2 linked regions of the Schizosaccharomyces pombe genome follow. The protein of the gene in region 2 interacts with the protein of the main gene of each other region in a pairwise test. Each region holds a gene or a part of one and is shown on either strand. Other genes may lie near its edges.

Region 1 (3,748 bases), 4.2 Mb from region 2:
CACAATAACTTTTGATGGAGAGAAGACAAGTGTGGGGATCTCATGCTCAAAGCCGAATCCCTTTTAAGTTTCGAAATTCCAAGCATGAGTCCAATTCGCACAATACGCAAAGTTGCGTTTGCTTCGCTTTACAAGCTGGATAGAACGATTTCTAAGCTACTAAATTATAGCGCAGCAAAGGATAAATCCGTAGGAGTCTGTTATTTTTAAAAAATGCAATACAACTTCAGCATCCTCAACATATATTGCAATGTAACGTTAATATGCACAATCAAAAATTTACCAATTTGAATGAATAGCATTGCACTACGTTACATTCAACGTTCTTGAGTTCTGTTGCTATACACTCCAAGACACTTGTGGAGCATGTGAGATATAAAATTAAGAGAAGTCTCAGATACCACTGATTCAATTTCGAAATACCGATATTTACATTAAATAATAAAAACAAAATTTAAAAAATAGTTATAATTTCTCATATTTATCACACTCCTCAATTGCTTGGAGGCCCATTACTTTATTGCAATCTCCAACGGCCTTCCTATCTTAATTAAGGATGACGGGCGCAGTAATGTTATATCGCTAATTTACTGAATGCTGTAAAAAACTAGTCATCCTTTAAAAAAACCGTTAGACCGCTAAACTGTTATTGGTGAAATAGACTGTTTCGAATATTACTTTGTTACACATCAAATGTATAGTGCCTTTTTGCAACCTGTTCCTTTTTTTTTCGCCCAGCTCCGTTATTCCGTGATGCGGAACCCTAGTTCCAGCAACTATGGACTCGCTCTTGCCTATTGGAAAGTATGATCGTAGGTTAGCGGCCTTGGCAATGTTATCGGGATCGATTGTTGCAAAAAAACATACGCAGTGCAAGAGGTGCATTAAAAAAAATAAAAAAAATAAAAACGGCTTAACCATTTCTTATACAAACTTCTCTTTTTGAAAGATTATCCTTACACCTTTTTTATTTACATGTATAATCCAAACCAGCAACTAATTACATATCGAAATAAATGCAAAACAGATAAACAAATGGAAACCAAAAAACCGTTCAAGCATGTATCCCAGCTTCTAGTCGTGCATCCACCAACTTTTCATCATCATTTTTGTTAAACATACAAGCACCCTACCCGTTCTCTGCCGTCTGTCTCATGCCGTCCCTTCCACCTGTACTCCCTAACTGACTACTTTCTTTCTCGCTAACTACTTCTTGCCTGCTATCTGATATTCCTTCCTCAGTTAAAGGGGGACGGCATCTTCTTTCCAATTTCCATATCCCACATCCCACAACCTTGTTTCGAATATACTGTGAACACATATCCTTCACCATCGAACACTGGAATTTCCATATTGTGTATGGAAAACAACTTTATTTGTCTAGCTGTACATCATACTTGCATAAGCTTCAGACTGCTTTGTTGTGGCCTCCCCAAAACTTTTTCTTCGTAAATCTAGTAATACCGGATTACGTTTTAGTCCCTTAATTGGCGTTTACTGCTGAAACCGCATTTCCGATTCGCTTGCCACTATTGCCTTCCCTATTTTATTCGCTACCATCCACCTTAAGCTAGCTTTGTGATTTGTTAGGGAAAAACAGTCACATTTTCGACAAACAGAATTTCTTCTCATATCAGATGAGATAAAGATGGCCGAAAACACTCAAGACTGACTTGCACTATATATAGCAGGCACTGCTCTCAAACACTACTGACTCATACAACTCACCAACATTTAATATTGGACGTTTTGAACATAAATTTAAAGTTGTTTTGAAAAATAATTTCATTGAATAAAGCAATTCGTTTTGTGTGCTATAAGACTACATAACTCTGACACGATTTTTTTCAACCACGTCTTGATTGTTTATTGTCGATACATAGTTGAATCGATTTTTCCTTTCATCGAGTGTACATAGTTATTGTCATCTTATTAACCCGGTTTACAAATTTCCTTGCGTTACCCTTACACACTTTTTAACGTCATTTACGTATAAGGAGATTTAAAGGCAAAGCTGTTATTTTTTTTTATATAGATCAGATAAAATCTGAAACTTTGAAAACTCCCTGCCATCCCCCAAAAACACTGAAAACGTACTCAAGCCTTTTACTTGATACGTTTTGAAAACAAATCTAGTTGGATTTGTGATACAGATATTTTGTTAGATCTTGACGTGATTTGTCATCTGATTTTTTTCTTTTTTCTTTTGTTTTCCCTAAAATGAGTGTCTTCCGTCGCTCCGTTCAATGCGTTGGCGTTTTGCCTTCAATTTTGGCTCAACGCTCTTCTCTTCTTGCCCGTCCAGCGAATTTACAGTTTCTCAAAACGAACTCGTCAAAATTCGTCCCTCAAGTCACCGCAAACGTCTCTCGTCGTATGTACCATAAGAATGTTTTAGACCATTACAACAATCCTCGGAATGTGGGTACTTTGCCCAAAGGTGATCCCGATGTGGGTATCGGCTTGGTAGGTGCTCCCGCCTGTGGCGATGTTATGCGCCTTGCTATTCGTGTCAATAAGGATGGTGTTATTGAGGACGTAAAGTTCAAGACCTTTGGTTGTGGTAGTGCAATTGCCTCGTCATCCTACGTTACCACTATGGTCAAGGGCATGACCCTTGAGGAGGCTTCTAAAATTAAAAACACCCAAATTGCCAAAGAGCTTTGCTTGCCTCCTGTAAAACTTCATTGCTCCATGCTTGCCGAGGATGCCATTAAAAGCGCTGTAAAGCATTATCGCTCTAAACAATTAACGCCTGTTGGTACAACTGCTGGCGCTATTGAGTCTGCTACCGCTTAGAAACTTGATTGTAAAGTCATAGCTTTCATCTGTTTAAAAATCTGCTAATTTCCGCTCCGCTTTTTGACCCCGCCTCCTAATTTTCTACCCGGTCCTTTTAATTCCTAAACTGCGTACATGTAAACAGTGTTTTCCACATAAGATTGCTTGTCGACTTTGGCGTAAACATATGGTCTATGTGTTTGCTTGCATTCTTCCTCCCATTTAGCAATATATATTGATTAATGTTTCTGCACTATATGTATCTGGACTAAATTGATGCAAGTGCTTTCTTTCAAAATGCTGCTGATGCTTATTTGCTTGTTATTGTGGTTATAAAAATCATTACTCTGTACATTTTCCCCTTCCTTTTTTTTTAGTTCCTGCTATAGCATTTTATTCGAATCTTTATACGTCTAATGAAAAATAATTTAGAGTCTTTTATTTCTAAACTATAAGCTGTTTCTGTGTTTGCTTAAACTTTAGTAGTATACATGAATATCATCTTCTAGCTATTAAACCATGTAATATAAATGTTCATATATATTCATTGTTTCGTTGCCCATCACGCAAATAGTCAGAAAGGACTGTCTTGCCTATATTAAACTCATTACCAAAACCGTTTGCCACACCCAAATTTAAGGGTACCATAACTTGATTGTACGATCGTATCCTGATGAGATAAATCTGTCTCCGTAACCGTCAACACTCATAACCTTTTCTTCGTGTCCCACCATACTTTTAATCAATGAGCAGTTCAACGGGTTCCAAAGCTTTACGCAGCCATCATAACCACTCGTAGCGATGAATCTGTTAACACCTGATTCAATATAACGAACGTCTGAAACAAGAGAAGAATGTGCGGGAATAGTATGTGCCAATGACACTTTCCGCAAGTCCCATATTTTCACAGTATCATCGGCTGAAGAAGTTGCAAGTTGGTAGCCGTTTGGACTCCAAGCCATCGCGA
Region 2 (4,717 bases):
TGAACCAGGAGAGAAATACAATATAATTGGCTCCTTCACAAGCTAGCTTCGATAAGGGTGGGAAAAGCCGAAAGTTTATGAAATTAAGGTCGATTTTCTATATACCATATGATATTCGCCAGACGATTGGTACTTGAAGTAACTTATGTGTCAAAAAGAGCAAGCGTATTGAATCTGAAATCTGAAAATGACCACTTTCTAAGCAGGCCTAGAATATCCGAGTCACTGCCAACATCAGGGGAGGTGGGGATAGCTAAAGTACCTGCGAAACTTGCAAGTGCGCTGCCGCCTTACTCAGTCTTTGCCCCCGTTTCCCTTAGCTTTGTAAGAATGAATTGCGGATAACGTTAGGACAGTGTAGCTCGGGATAACTAGTTTGCCTGTAAAAGAACAAATAATCATTTGTAAGGGACCTTCCTTCCAAGTCATCAACACTCCATCCCATCTTACCTCACTTTCTCCTCAATCAGATTCAAGAAATGGCTGGCTTCACTTGTGACAATAACAGTGACTCAGGTGAGATATCGAATAAAATTCCATTCCCTAATAATCGCGTTTGAACATTCGCGAATCCTAGATTTTGGTCTATTTACCGTTATCATGCCAATTGAAAAATTTGTGACAGTATGACAGAAATCCGTTTCGTTATGTGAAAAAGGTGACATTAGCAAATCAATGGCCGTTTATACGACAGCAAAAACTCGGTACGCTAATCATTGATGAAATGGAAATCAAAATTCAAGACTTTGCCTCAATAACATTCATTAGAAAGGTGTGTAAATTTTTTAAGGAGACGAGGCGCTGAAAATTTTTTTTTCTACTCCTACTATCAAAACTTGCTAACACTTCCTCCAAACACACTCTTTTTTAAGTAACACTTTTTTTTTATTTCTTATTTATTTAATATTTTGAGTGGATGATCACCCGTATTCGGTTAGTAAAGTGAAGCTCAAAAGAATGATGCGAATCTCGGCAATTAGCGTCAAGCGGCAACGTCTATAGCGGTCGTATAGCTAAGCTAAACAAGAAGCGAGATCTTTCCAATACGGATGTCATTAAGCTACCGATTCTTAAAGCGAAGACATTATCACTCATGACACATAAAATTTTTTGACGTTATTATACGTTTAATAATGAATAAAATAAATTTATAAATAAAATAAAATATATAAATATACAAAAGGGGGAGGGGAAATCCCTTCAATAAACGACAACAACAGTCTGCAAGAAGGTTTGTCTTATTGGAAACAGTTTTCCTATCTTAGAAGGCTGCTAAAAAAATAGTCACTTGCATGCTACAATAATTGCACGCGTAAAGAGGCTTTTGCAAGAAGAGAGAGAAAAAAATTTTTTTGCCAAATGTAAATTGGGAAGTAACATGGCTTCACTACATCTCGTCCTAAAATATAACGACATTGGAAATTTATGGCTTAATTATGATTACGCAATCAAACGGTAAACGTATACTTCACTATTCGCTAATCTGTATTTCGTACTCCGTTATATTATGTTTTAGTAGTAGGTGGAAAGCGTTACGTTTACTGAAAACGATTTTCCATTAACAAAGCACTCAACAATGGACTCAAGATGGAAACTTCCATTCATGTCCAATAAAGGGACACCAGAGCAACCTATGAGGAAACCACTAAGTGGCAGTTATTCCCATAACAGTGCTGGTCCTACACCCAATATGAGCCCCTTTGAGCAAAAACCACCGCTGCCTACACATATGGATGTTAGACGCCCTTCAGGTCCTTTTCGGATCGTCAAGGCGACTTCTACCGAAGATGCTTTAACCAATTGTATCATTGTTTCTCCCATGGACTTTAAGCAGCAGTACATTATTGTAGACAACTCTCGTGTGTTCAGCACTAAACCCGTTCCTGGCTTTCCACAGGGTTGTCTTGGCGCTTCCCAGCCCCATCGCGAATGGGCTTCTTGGTCGCTAAATCAGCAGGTTCATGTTGCCGACTATGATCCATATGGTCCTCATGGAGCTCCTTATCTTCATAGTATGACTTTGGAGGTAGACTTTCAAAATAGAAATCGCACCACTAATGAGCCTTTCGACGGTGAAGAGATGGCCAAGTTATTTTGCTCTAGTTATCAGAGCCAAGTTTTTTCTCCGGGCCAGAAAATTGTTTTCGATTTCCGTTCTTACAATATAAAGGCAACCGTCCGTACTATATCTTGTGTCGATCTTTTAATTGGTGAGAATCAAGATGCCGAAAATACTGCAGATACCAGCAAACGTGGTCTCTTGACTTCCCAGACCGAAATCCAATTTTTTAAAGCCGCTCACTCTGCGTTGCGTTTGAAAGCTAGCATGACAAGACCTGCCTCTAATGCCATTCTTCAGCCAGGCTTTAAATTTGAGGACATGGGCATTGGTGGTCTTGACTCAGAGTTCAGTGCTATTTTCCGTCGAGCATTTGCCTCTCGTCTCTTTCCTCCTGGCATGGTTGAAAAGCTGGGTATTAATCATGTTAAGGGTATTCTCTTATATGGCCCTCCAGGTACTGGTAAGACATTAATTGCTCGACAAATTGGTAAAATGCTAAATGCCCGTGAACCGAAAATCGTTAATGGTCCTGAAATTCTAAACAAATACGTCGGTCAAAGTGAAGAAAACGTTCGTAAATTATTCGCCGATGCTGAACGTGAGTATCGCGATCGCGGAGAGGAATCGGGTCTTCATATTATTATCTTCGATGAATTAGATGCCATATGTAAAAAGAGAGGAAGTTCTGGTGGTGATACAGGTGTTGGCGATCAGGTCGTTAATCAGCTTTTGGCTAAGATGGATGGCGTTGATCAACTGAATAATATCCTTGTTATTGGTATGACTAACAGAAAAGACATGATCGATGAAGCTCTTTTGCGTCCAGGTCGTCTTGAGGTTCATATGGAAATTTCACTTCCAGATGAACACGGCCGTTTGCAGATTCTGAAAATCCATACGTCCCGTATGGCTTCAAATGGTATTTTAGAGAATGATGTTGACATGGAAGAGCTAGCATCTCTTACTAAAAACTTTTCTGGTGCTGAAATTGCTGGATTAATCAAGAGTGCTTCAAGTTTTGCTTTTTATCGCCACATCAAGGTGGGAACCACTGCCGCTGTTTCAGGTAATTTGGAAAATATCAAGGTGAATCGTAACGACTTTTTGAATGCTTTAAGTGAGGTAAGACCAGCTTATGGTGTGAGTGAGGAGGAACTCGAAAGCCGTGTGCAAGGTGGCATTATCAATTTTGGTAAACACATTGAAGAAATAATTACCGAAGGAAAATTATTTGTTCAACAAGTTAAAAACTCCGAACGTACACGTTTGGTCAGTGTATTATTGTCAGGCCCTATAGCGTCAGGGAAAACTGCATTGGCTGCCACGATAGCCCTTGGTTCTGAATTTCCATTTGTTAAGCTCGTTTCCGCTGAGTCCATGGTAGGAATGAATGAAAACGCTCGAGTAGCTCATGTCAATCGTGTGTTCGAAGACAGCTACAAAAGTCCTCTTAGCGTCATTGTAGTAGATGAGATTGAACGTATTATTGATTGGGTACCAATCGGACCTCGATTTTCTAACACCTTACTTCAAACACTTATGGTTCTTTTCAAAAAGCAACCCCCCAAGGGTCATCGATTGCTTATTTTAGCAACTACCTCTGAACGTACTATGCTCTCTCGAATGGATATGACCCAATCGTTTGATGCAGAAATAGCAGTTCCTAATGTCTCCAACGTTACTGAACTGGACCGCATCATACAATCAATAGATTCATTTGCAGACAGCAATGTTCGAGCTGATACATTACAACGTTTGCAGAACTTTACTGGTACTGATGCTGTCAATGTCGGAGTAGCCAAGATTCTTATGATAGCCGAAACGGCTAAACAGGATGTAGACGTTGTTTCCTGTTTTGTTGAAGCCATGGCCCGTGCTATTCCTATGGAATAGCAATGACACCTTTTTAATAACTGAGACGTTTTAGTCATGAATATTTTCTCAAGGTTTTTTATATTTTATACCGTTATAGATTATAGTTAATGAATACACCGCAATACTGTATGAATATTAAGTTAAAAGATGTTCGAACCTATATGTAACGTTAAAAAAATTAAATCATCTTGTTAAATGAATGCTTATCAATATAACTTTATAGCCTTTTATAGTCAATTATCCATAAATAATCATTTGAAGCATTGTAAACAATTTAAGCATACTACATTACTCCCATACTGAGAGGCACAATTTACCAATTCGCTATTTCCACTCCACATTGACCCGGTTCATATTCTAAATCTTTAATTTCATCAGTCATAAATAGTAAAGGACATGGAAATTTAAAAATCGTAACATTCAACTCACATACTTAATTCTAAAATGAATATGCCCTCCGAAATACTACTTGGTGCAAGACGCTGGTTTGCTTCAACATCATTTAGTCTAGCAGCTGTATATGATGCTCCACTTAAAAAAGCTATAGGAAACATTAAAAAGTTTTCGATTGGATCATTAGGTTTAACTTATATGATTTCTCCAGTGATGCTTTTACTTGATGCAGGAGGTTTAAGTTTGGGAACGAGAATGTCGATGGTTTTCTTGGGTATGTTTCATCAAGAAATCGGATTACCAAAATTTCCAAAGCAAATTTATTAACATGTTAGCATGTACTACTACTAGTTTGTCGACTGCAATAATTCACTGGGCTGCTAAATC

Evidence for each region.
Region 1: the proteins of sec18 (region 2) and isu1 interact in a two-hybrid assay, tested with the Schizosaccharomyces pombe proteins (2 studies listed by BioGRID).

Annotation. Positions count from the first base shown.
Region 1 is NC_003424.3:516,916-520,663, reverse strand, and holds isu1 (Fe-sulfur cluster assembly protein Isu1), read left to right. Parts: upstream 1-1,712; 5' UTR 1,713-2,220; coding exon 2,221-2,799; 3' UTR 2,800-3,248; downstream 3,249-3,748. Other genes in the region: rna4 (Prp4 family U4/U5/U6 small nuclear ribonucleoprotein complex subunit), read right to left, coding at 3,417-3,748. UniProt on the Schizosaccharomyces pombe protein: Scaffold protein for the de novo synthesis of iron-sulfur (Fe-S) clusters within mitochondria, which is required for maturation of both mitochondrial and cytoplasmic [2Fe-2S] and [4Fe-4S] proteins.
Region 2 is NC_003424.3:4,717,976-4,722,692, reverse strand, and holds sec18 (secretory pathway protein Sec18), read left to right. Parts: upstream 1-1,557; 5' UTR 1,558-1,576; coding exon 1,577-3,955; 3' UTR 3,956-4,180; downstream 4,181-4,717. Other genes in the region: SPOM_SPAC1834.13 (uncharacterized protein), read left to right, coding at 109-345; SPOM_SPAC1834.10C (uncharacterized protein), read left to right, coding at 4,382-4,604, 4,666-4,717. UniProt on the Schizosaccharomyces pombe protein: Required for vesicle-mediated transport. Catalyzes the fusion of transport vesicles within the Golgi cisternae. Is also required for transport from the endoplasmic reticulum to the Golgi stack.